Linked DNA regions of Macaca mulatta. The protein of the gene in region 1 interacts with the protein of each later gene in a biochemical or structural test. Links are inferred from orthologs where the notes say so. Each region holds a gene or a part of one and is shown in the gene's direction. Other genes may lie near its edges.

Region 1 (3,747 bases):
AGAATCCACAGCCGGTGCCCAAAGAGCGCTTCCCACCTCTGGCACCCTACCTTCGCTGAGCTCCAGGGAAAAGAGGAGAGGGCAGCTTTCTGCAGTCAGAGGAAGGGTACATTTTCTTTGGCCTCTCTACCCTCTAAAGCAGGACGGCCCGCTGAAGGAGGACGCACTTCTGAGGGGCCCAGAGCTTTTCCAAGTTTTCCCCTGCCCCCTGAAGACTGTGCACTGAGCTGGGCGCAGTTGTCGGAAACTGTTTGCACCCAGATTGCTGGGGGTCGGGGGTCGGGTGCGGGCAGAGCCGAGAGGCTGTCCAAGTCTGAGAGAGAGAAAAGTTTCTCCCAGGACTCGACCTTGGCCTCCAGCAATCGCGACAGCTAAAAAGGGACGTCTCGCTTCGACAACAGATCTCGCGGACCTTCTGGCACCTGGTTCACCAGGACCCTCGAACTCTGCCTCGGGAGACTTCTTGAAATCCGGATGCTCAAGCCGGGAGGCGCGCAGTAGCCAGAAGGATGAGAGGCCCGGGTTTGGACTAGGAAAGCGGCCTTTTGAAACAGATGTCAGGGGCTACTGGGAATGCAGCCCAGAGCCATGAGAAAAAAGTTAAAGGCGAGATGACACACACTGAATTGGGGCAAACATTGGAAGAGGGGACAAAACTGCGTGCTTGAGCACCGGGGTGCGGGGGAGGGGGGACAAAACTCGTATCCAATGGAAATTAAAATCTTGGGAGGAGGTGGGGGCTCCTGCGCGCCCTTCACCCTCAGTTCCCCTATTAAGGATTCCGCGTCCCCTGCACGCCTGTCTTCTAGCTCCTTCCTTCCTCTCCGCTCGGCCGGTGAGCGGCGGCCGCCAGCGCCCCAGCAGCAGCTAGATGTCAGGCGAAGCCCGGAGCGCGGAGCGCGGGGAAGGGAGGGGAAGGGAGGGGAGGGGAAAGGAGAGGTGGGGCGGGGAGCGCGCGCGGGCTCGGCCAGTGCGGGGTGGTGGGCGGGCTGAGCCCGAGGACGGCGCGGGAGGGGGGAGGGAAGGGGGGCAGCTGTGGGCAGGGAGCCGGGCTCGGCCGCCAGCACTAAAGATGGAGAGGCGCCGGGGCCTTGCAGGGGAGGGGGCTCGGCGTTGACGTGGGACGCGGCGGAGGCGCAGCAGCCGGTGGTGATTTGCTAACCTCGCAGCAGAGAGGAGTTGAGGGCGATGAGAGCGGGTACTGCGAACTGCCGGGCGATGCTGTCGCTGCCGCCTTGATACGGAGAGCAACAGTTCCCCAGCAACACCCCTCCCCGACACAGGCACACACCCCCCGACAGGCACGCACACCCACCCCACAGTGCCCGGCTCGGCTGCGGTGAGTGAGGGGCCGGGAAGAGGCGCACCGCCGAGCGAGCGCCGCGCGCCGGGGCTCCCCGGGGCTGGAGAGGTCTGGGGGGCGCGCGCTCGCTTCGGCCACTCGGCCGCTGGGCTTGTGCCTTTTTTATTTGGCGTGTTCCCTTCCTGCCGCTGCAGCCGTCGCCGCAACCGGTTGGGGGTCGGCTAGAAGGGGGAGCCCCGGCTGTCAGCCTGGGCACAGCTGCCTCCCCAGCCCTTCCTCTCCAGGGCACGGTCGGGGTGAGAGGTGGGGGGCGTAGCGGTCTGCGGGGGCTGAGGGCGTGAGCAGAGGGTCGGGGATCCGGAGGCTTTGTACCGCCAGGGGCCAGCGGAGGAACAGAGCCCGTGGGTGCTCTTATGTATGCGGACCGGTGCGCGGGCGCGAGATAGGGTTGTGGTTTATTTATTTGTGTGTCTATTCGCCGGCCGGCTGGGAAGCTAGAATCGGAGGAGCTGACGAGTAGATCTGGGGGCGGAGGGGAACAGGACTGGGACTGCTTATGTTTTGTTTCTGTTTGAAAAAACGTGGTGGGCTTTTTATTGATTGGACTTGATCCCCCCCTTTTGCAGGGGAGGGAGGGAAGCTCCAGAGGGTCTCCAGCGCTCCGGGCCCTCCTCGGCTCTCGACGGGACCGGCGGTGACACCGGAGCTCGCCGTGCGCTCCCGGCCGCTCTCGGTGGGTGCGGGTCTCTGCACCTGATGCGTTCGGGATGCCTTTCCCACCCTGGCGCGCCCGCCGCTAGCTCGCACAGCGCGTCGCACACGCCCGCACGCGCTTGAAATGCGCAGGGTCCCGCCGGCCCACGGACCCACTGGGACGCACGGAGCGCTCCGCACCGACTCGCTCGCCGCCTCCGCGAGACGCTCGCACGGTGCCTCGGACGGGCGCGCCGGCCGCTGGCGCCGCTGGCCAGAGGCCGGGGACCCAGCCGGTCGCTTCCCGGGGGTCACGGCCCTGGGTCGGAGAGGGAGGGCGGGCAGACCCCTTCTCGCCTTTCCTCCTACAACTCGTTTGCGGGGCTTTTGTGCTTCCCCTTCGCCGCGGGGCGGGTCCGCCTCCCTGCTGCTCTCCCCGCGGAGTCCAGCCCGCCCGGACTGTCGCCTTTTTTCCCAGTCTCTTTCGCTTTCCCTCGTCCCTAGCCCAGCTCTTCATCTTTCAGGCGTCTAGCTCCTCGGGAAAAGTTGCTTCCCCAAGTTTGCTGAAGTCGTCTCCAAGTCTCGGTGGGGGGTCGCTGGGAACTGGAGGCGTGTGAGAGCACGGTCGATCCCCGGAGCTCAGGCGGGTTATCGCCGGTTCTTCCCCGCGCCGCCCGGCTGGACGCTGCAGCCAGCGCCGGCCGGATCGCGGGCGCCGAGCGGCGGGTGGGGAAGACGGCTGCCCGTGGGCGCCCCGATTTCCCTCAGGACCCAAAGGGCTTGTTTTGGGGCGCCAAGCTTCCATTCTTTTGGCTGTTCCCTCCTAGTTCTCAGAAGCCCCGGTGTCTGCGGGAAAGCACGCGGTGGCCAGGCTCTGCTGAATGTTCATCCCACCCTTGACGGCCTCCGTCCCCACCCCGGGGTAGGCAACAAAAGTGTCTTGACCAGCCATCCTGTGAATCCTTTCTGCGTGAGCTTGGTGGCTCCTGAACTGATAGAGCTTCTTTTGGGGGTGGAGGCAAGCAAGCAGTGTTCGAAGAGTGAGGGAGAGACCTTGCTGTTCCTTGCTCTCAGTGCATTCACTGCAATATTGGTCGCTGCAAGGCAGACACGGGGAGGGCCCTGGGCCTGCGCGGTCTTTCTAACACTCGTTAAGCGGGGTTTGGAGTCTAGGAGCCCTCTTATTGATCCCGAACAGGCTCTGGGAGAGGCCTTTGTTTCCCAGCCCTGTCTTCCCTTCGTACTGGTTGTAACTCACACCACAGATGCTGGTGCCAATATCACTTCCAGCGCCTCTGAGCCATGTCCGGCATCCCTTGCTGCCCCTGGTCACAGGACTTGCAGACTCCTTGGAGCCTGTGGGACACACGTGGAGTTCACACACCCAGCCCAGCATGAGCGCTCCTGGCTGTAGGGGAGCATATTTACTGTGGTCTCTCTCCATACCTTAATGATCCATCCTTCTTCGTTTTTTAGATCCTCCTGTCCACCGGGCAGTTGTGGGCAGGACGGTAGGTACGGCCCCTTATATAAGTGTGTGTGTGTGTATGTAAAGACACACACACACGCTTTTTTTTTTTTTTTTTCTGAGACGGAGTTTTGCTGTTGTTGCCCAGGCTGGAGCGCAATGGCACAATCTCGGCTCACCGCAACCTCCGCCTCCCGGGTTCAAGGGATTCTCCTGCCTCAGCCTCGCTAGTAGCTGGGATTACAGGCGGGTGCCACCGCGCCTGGCTAATTTTGTATGTTTT
Region 2 (3,747 bases), on another chromosome or scaffold:
GTGAGCTTCCATCTGAAACCAGCCCAACTATACCATAAAGCCTCAGATCTGGCCTGGGGAAGGCAAGGGATCTAGGGAAGGGAGAGAAAAGAGGCCTCTAAGGAAATAGAGTGGTCAAGTGATTAGTGATTATTATTAACAGCAACAATAATAATGAGTCACATTTATTGAAAGCTTATAGTGTGCCTGGCACTATACTACTTTTATGTGTTCCTGCATTCATTTCTCAAAAAGCTCCCTACAAAGTAGTCATTATTATTATTGTTATTATTTTTTCCATTTGAGAGATGTCAAAACTGAGGCTCAGTGAAATTAAGTTTCTTGTCCAAGGTCACACAGTAAGTAGCAAAGGCAGGATTCAAACTCAGGTCTGTAGTGATTCCAGTGCACTATGGAAACCTAGGCCTGGGTTACTGGAGCAAGTTAAGAGGGCAGGGCCAGACTGACCCCTGCAAAGGTGGGGATAGGGAAGGACAGTGGGATAGACTGTGTATAAATAGCAGGCCTGTTTTTATCCCTACACACAGGCAGAATCAGGCAAGTGCTCTATCTGGCACAATTTCAGGGCTCTGAAAGCCAACCCAGCCCTATGTCAAACAACTCTCGCCCCAGCCACGTCCCTGGAAACTGAAATACCTACTGAGAGACTCATCTCTTTGGTCAGGACAGTGACTCCAGAAGACCCCTGTAAAAGCACATGGGTTGGAAGAGAAACACCTGGTGCCTGTGAACCAGCAATCTAGGTTAGCCAGCTGGGTCCTATGGGAGGGAGGCTCATTTTTTATGTTGAGGAAAAAGATGGCAGTCAAAGGCAAGGAAAAGAATAAGGCTTGTTTCACAACCTGTGTCTCTCCAATTTCAGAAGCCTGGGAATTACAACCCATAGTTCAAAAATCTTAATGTCCCCTGAGGGAAGATGGGAGGAAGCCACTCCAGCGACTGGTAGAGTACTAGCTTCCTTTGCTTTTGCTAAGTGCCTGCAGCTTCAACTCTGGTTATCTCGGGTTTATGAGAACGGCTGGCATTCATGTGTCTAATTTTTACATGATAAATGAATTAATTATTATCTGATACTTGCCGTGTTGGTAGGCCAAAAGGTGGGCTTCTGAAACTTAGAGGGTGACAGGGATGGAGACCCCTGGTATGGAGCTGAGACGAAGCAAGAGGCCAGGCCCGGAACAGAACTCAGCTCAGCAGTCAGTCACAAGGCTGCAGAGCGACAGGCGTTTGGGGAAAGGTAGGAACCTCTCCCCGCCACCTGCCGGTCAGCAGCCCTACCCACAATTAGGCCGCGGCTGCCTCGGCCTGGTCCCAAAAAATGTGAGCGCCGCCCCCTCCTCCCGCCCAGTCCCCCGCCGCGCCCGCGGGGTCGGGGGCTGAGCTGCCGGCGCCGCCAGCCGGGCGAGCTTCCCAGCACGGGAGGAGGGAGGGGGCGGCGCCGGGAGGGGCGGAGCTTCGGCGCCTCCCGGAGCCTTATTCCCGGCCGCGCGCCGGGCAGCGCTCATTCGGCCGAAGGAGCTACGCGGGCCACGCTGCTGGCTGGCCTGACCTAGGCGCGCGGGGTCGGGCGGCCGCGCGGGCGGGCGGAGTGACCAAGACAGACACTCAACAAGAGCGAGCTGCGCCGGGGTCCCGGCCAGGCTTGCACGCAGAAGCCGGCGGCAGACGGTGCCCAGCGGAATCTCCTGAGTCCCACCGCCCAGCTCCGGTGCCAGCGCCCAGTGGCCGCCGCTTCGAAAGTGATTGGTGCCTCGCCGCCTCCTCTCGGTGCGGGACCATGAAGCTGCTGCCGTCGGTGGTGCTGAAGCTCCTTCTGGCTGCAGGTAGGAGGGCTGCGACGCCCCTGGAGATCGGGGGGATGGGGGCGCTGTGCTGGGGGCATGGGGGAAGGTCGCCGCAGCGCACCCGGCACGGGCCACTTGGTGGGGCCCTTGCGCTCTGGCGGACCGGCGTCGGCATCGGTGCGTGTTGGTCGGGGGTCTGGGCGGGTGTCTGATGCGGCCTGGCCCCTCGCCCACAGTTCTTTCGGCACTGGTGACTGGCGAGAGCCTGCAGCAGCTTCGGAGAGGGCTAGCTGCTGGAACCAGCAACCCGGACCCTTCCACTGGATCCACGGACCAGCTGCTACGCCTAGGAGGCGGCCGGGATCGGAAAGTCCGTGACTTGCAAGAGGCAGATCTGGACCTTTTGAGAGGTGGGTGTGGAGGCCGCCCATCCTCGGACCCGGGTGGGCTGTTGAAGAATAAGCAGATCCAAGATTCTTGCTGTTTGGGCAATACTGCGGGTTGAGAGTATTCATGGAGAACCTCGGGGAAAAGCTGATCGGCCTGAAGGGCACTGGGGGATCCTGGAATATAGGTCCCACTCTCTCTGTTGTCATTGCCTCCCCTGCTGGGTTGCCGCCCTTCTGGGTACTTTGGGGCAAACTGAAACAGGCAAGTTGTCTGGGGTCCTTACGTGCTTCTTGGGTAAGCTGAGTGATAGGAACAAGGAATGGTTGAGATGCTTTCCCTAGAGCTACTATGTAAAAATGGGCACCAGTTCTAATTCCCTCATCAAATGACTATTGTATATAAAATAGAGGTAACAGATGCGGAGATGCCCAGGCACTTCTATAGAAAGTGTGCAGTGTTAGCCTCCTCCATCCACCTGTCTCCAGATTGGGGAAACAGAGAGGAATGAGGAGCTCTTGGCTGCCCTAGGTGAGGCTGTGAATGGTGAACGCTGGGCCTCTAGGGGGCTGTATTAAAATGCTGGGTATCTCTGAATGCTACCGGAAACCTGCAGGCTTACTGAGCACCTTGCTTTCCTGAGGCGACTCCAAATGGGGAGGGCTGTGTAGAATCCTCCAACCAGCCTCTTTGGCTGTAGCCAAGCACAGGCACAGGGCAGAGTCCAGAGCCTGCCAGCTCTCCTGCCTCCAGACCTGAGGAGATTATCCAGGGTAGAGCAAGGACTCAGCACTGTACCACGGAATGACTATATTTGGTTGGACAGATGCCCACCTGTTCTAGCTCAACCTGCTCCTCAGCTGCCCTTCTCCCGCCTTCCCAGGAGCTTCCCTTGGGTATTCTCTCTACTTTGTATAAATCAAACACATGCTCCAAAACTGAGCCTAGGCTCCCATACTTCATCCTCTCCCAGCAGCCCTCTGGGGTTGCCCATGGCCTGAACAGCCTGGATTCTCCTGGCCCTCTCCTCCTAGGCTGGGCAGGGCTGGGCTGTGACTCACCCCACCCCCACCCCCCACCCACATGGCTGCTCCTCATACCTCTGCAGACCTGACTCACTGCTCCCTGTCCATGGCTGGAGCCTGGCTGTCACCCTGCACCTTCTCCCTCCCCTTTCTGATTGGCTTGGCCCCCCTGCCTTACTCTCCCCGAAGCTCTGGTCACTGGGTTCCTCTGACCACCTATATCGTCTTCTGAGCTCTGAAGGGGCCTGGGACTGGATGAGAGGAAATGAAGGACTGTGGGGCTGCTGGCACCTACTTCTTTTTCTTTCCTTCTCTTGGCTTTACTGGGCAAAGACTACTTTTCAGGTCTGGGGATCCTACCACCTAAAATAAATGACTGCTACCATTTATTAAATTCCTACTGTGTTCTACGCACTTGATATGTTATCCTGGCTAATGTAACACTTATAGCAACCTTTTGAGATAGTTACTCTTGCTATCCACATTTTACTGAGAACCTGAGGTTCAGAGAGGTTAAGTGACTTGCCCACGGTCATATAGCTGAAATTGGA
Region 3 (3,129 bases), on another chromosome or scaffold:
AGAAAATATATTTACTCTTCATTAAGTGGATGTGGCTCATCATAAAGGGTCCTCATTCTCATCTTGTTGAGTAGGCTGAAGAGGGAGGAGGAAGGGGAGGGGTTGGTTTTGCTGTCTCGGGGTTGGCAGAGGTGGAAGAAAACTTGCCTATCAGTGGCCCTGTGCCATTCAAAGCCGTGTTATTCAAGAGTCTGCTGTACTTCTCTCATGGCGTGGAGGGAAGCGCAGTGGCATGATCTCAGCTCACTGCATCCTCTGTCTCCCGGGTTCAAGAGATTCTCTTGCCTCAGCCTTTCGAGTAGCTGGGATTACAGGTGTGCACCACCACGCCTGACAAATTTTTTTTGCTATGTGTGTGTGTCTGCCTGTCTCTGATTCACATTATTTGGGACACTGGGCAACAGCAGTTTTGTTTTTGTATCTCTTCTAGTATCCTTGCATGTGGTCACCAATAAATTTTTACTGGGTGTGTTGGTGGGAACAGAACCCCCTGCAGAAGATCTGGCAAGCCTGGACTCTGCTTGCCAGGGTGGGGTAACACAATGGAGGGAGAGTGGGTTTTAAGCCCTTTGCTTTGCACTATCTGGCTTAGAAGTCGATCTCCATGCTGATAGAAGTGATCAGTGGCTCACTGGGTCCTACCCAGGATACATTAGAGCAGATTGGTAAAACCAAGGAAATGTGGGGTTTTGGGTTTTTTGTATGTTTGTTTTTGGAGACAGGGTTTGGCTCTGCCATCAAGGCTGGGGAGCGGTGGTACGATCTCAGCTCGCTGCAACCTCCACCTCCCAGCTCAAGCGGTCCTCCCACTTCAGCCTACCGAGTAGCTGGGACTACAGGATTGTGTCACCATGCCCGATTAAGTTTTGTATTTTTGTAGAGATGGGGTTTTGTCATGTTGCCCAGGCTGGTCTCAAACTCCTGAGCTCAAGCGAACTGCCTGCCTCGGCCTCCCAGAGTACTAGGATTACAGGCGTGAGTCACTGCGCCTCGTCGGAAATGTGTCTTTTTAACACATTCCCTAGGTTATACTAATGCATGCTAAAATTGAGAACACTGAGCTTTTTCAGCCCAGAGCCTGTGTTCACATTTCTTTGGAGGCGTTATGGATTTTCATGCCCTCACATGTTCTATGTTCTTACTACTTTAACTTCTCTGTAAACAGAGAAGCTTTTTTTTTTTTTTTTTTAAAAAGAAAAACAAAAACAGTATCTAAGACTTGAGCCCAATCTCTCCTTTGCTCCTTTAGAAGAAGATTAGGCTTTGTATTTGAAGGGCTCTTTTTTGGTTCTGCTTCATTTAATAAAAAATATTTTTTTTCTGTTTTGCAGTCCCATGAGCGTGTAAGCAAGCGTCTACATCAGAGATTCCAGGCCTGGGTAGATAAATGGACCAAGGAGCATGTGCCCCGTGAAATGGCAGCAGAGACCAGCAAGTGGCTCATGGGTGAGGGGCTGGAGGGCCTGGTGCCCTGTACCACCACCTGTGATACAGAGACCCTGCATTTTGTGAGCATTAACAAGTATCGTGTCAAATACGGCACAGTATTCAAAGCCCCTTAACTGCAAAGCCAGAGCAGATAACTTGGGGTGTGTGTGGGGGTGTGTGTGTAGGCCTATGCATTCACACACTGAAGAAACAAGGAAGATGCCTTTCAAGCCTCACTGGGCCTCTCTGGGACATGGCCACCTGACCTGTGTGTGGCTGGTGCAGCCTGGCACCAAGTGGGCTACCTGTTAGGAACATGAATACCTTACAAAGCTGAAGCTGGAACTTTTCCAAAGGGTTTTGGGTATAGCCTGCCCTGGAGGGGAAGGAAGTCCTTGCAAGCAAAGACGTGCAGTTTGCTTGCACACACCAGCAGAGCTAAGACTGGAGTCTCCTGTGGCCTAACTTTCAGTGAGGGAACCGGATGCTGTTCACACTTTTGACTGGATGGAGATGCATTTACAAAACAGACTGGGGAAGGACTTAATACTCAGATGGATTGGAACTATCATGGTCACTGCTCCTCTCCCCTCCCCACAAAAGGAAAAAAAAAAAAAAACTGGATTTGATTTTTTTTTTTCTGGTCACTTGAGCACATCTAAGATCACCCATTAGGTTTTATCTGGGACCTGCAGTTTGGCTTTGGGATTGATCATCTTGTGGATTTTATTCCTGACGAATCCCTTGCTGCCTACCCTTTCCTTTGGTTCTCAACCTCAACGAGTTCAAATCAGTCGTCCTTTTTAGCTCCCGTGGAACTGTTTTGTATCTGCCTCTTTACTAGTCTACCCTAGTGCCATCCACCAGCTTTACTCTCTGACACACACATGCACACACACACGATTTTAACTTGTTTTTTTGTACATAATGTACATACTGTCAATTTTTTATTAAAAGAAATATGCTTTGATGTGCTAGCATAATTGCTCTAGCTTCTTGTGTACCATAGTACTATGTGGCTTCAGATTTAGTACCTATGAACAGATGTACAAGACATTTATTACACTTTTTACCAAAGGGAGTTACCATTGTAGTACTTTTGTGTAAAACTTGTCTTCCCCTTTGCCCCCAACTTTTTTTTTTTTTTTTTTTTTTTTTTGTAAATAAATAAAGCTTGGTTCTTACTTAAGGAATAAACTCTCAACCCACGTCCCTTGTCCTCACCAGAAAATACTGTGAAGCAGGGATTTTGGTTTCAGTTCCTTATCCAGGGTAGAAACAGGATTTTGCTTTAAATACTTGTTACTTGTTCCAAATCAAAATATTCCAAAATCTTAGAATACTTCAGTCTTTTAGTACATGTTTTTTCCCCTTGTTCAACTATCTGAAAATATTTTATATTTGGGTAAGTTGTCAAGCTATGTAGTTTGTATTTCTATATATTTTTTCTTATTCACATTGGTGATGGATGGGGGTGAGCAACTTAAATACCAAACCAGTATTTGAAAAAAAGTGTGTATAAGGCATGTGGTATACCTTATAAATGGGGTTGGGAGGGAGAGAATTTGAAATGGGATACCTATTTTTTTAATTACATAAATTTAAACTAGCATTTAAACATGAATGATTAGAATTTTTCTATGTGGTTAACCTGGACTTTCTGAACAAAGACCAACTGAGCCCCTCCCAGTACTCTGGCGG

The links.
Region 2: the proteins of ZBTB16 (region 1) and HBEGF form a complex in vitro, tested with the Homo sapiens proteins (2 studies listed by BioGRID). The link is inferred for Macaca mulatta from reciprocal best matches to the Homo sapiens genes ZBTB16 and HBEGF.
Region 3: the proteins of ZBTB16 (region 1) and SIN3A form a complex in vitro, tested with the Homo sapiens proteins (3 studies listed by BioGRID). The link is inferred for Macaca mulatta from reciprocal best matches to the Homo sapiens genes ZBTB16 and SIN3A.

The regions. Positions count from the first base shown.
Region 1 is NC_133419.1:114,807,340-114,811,086, forward strand, and holds the start of ZBTB16 (zinc finger and BTB domain-containing protein 16), read left to right. Parts: upstream 1-1,170; 5' UTR 1,171-1,339; exon of another isoform or gene 1,340-2,036; intron 2,037-2,823; exon of another isoform or gene 2,824-2,918; intron 2,919-3,747. UniProt on the Homo sapiens protein: Acts as a transcriptional repressor. Transcriptional repression may be mediated through recruitment of histone deacetylases to target promoters. May play a role in myeloid maturation and in the development and/or maintenance of other differentiated tissues.
Region 2 is NC_133411.1:149,204,408-149,208,154, reverse strand, and holds the start of HBEGF (proheparin-binding EGF-like growth factor precursor), read left to right. Parts: upstream 1-1,518; 5' UTR 1,519-1,777; coding exon 1,778-1,823; intron 1,824-2,020; coding exon 2,021-2,194; intron 2,195-3,747. UniProt on the Homo sapiens protein: Growth factor that mediates its effects via EGFR, ERBB2 and ERBB4. Required for normal cardiac valve formation and normal heart function. Promotes smooth muscle cell proliferation. May be involved in macrophage-mediated cellular proliferation.
Region 3 is NC_133412.1:53,412,401-53,415,529, reverse strand, and holds the end of SIN3A (paired amphipathic helix protein Sin3a), read left to right. Parts: intron 1-1,331; coding exon 1,332-1,562; 3' UTR 1,563-2,561; downstream 2,562-3,129. UniProt on the Homo sapiens protein: Acts as a transcriptional repressor. Corepressor for REST. Interacts with MXI1 to repress MYC responsive genes and antagonize MYC oncogenic activities. Also interacts with MXD1-MAX heterodimers to repress transcription by tethering SIN3A to DNA.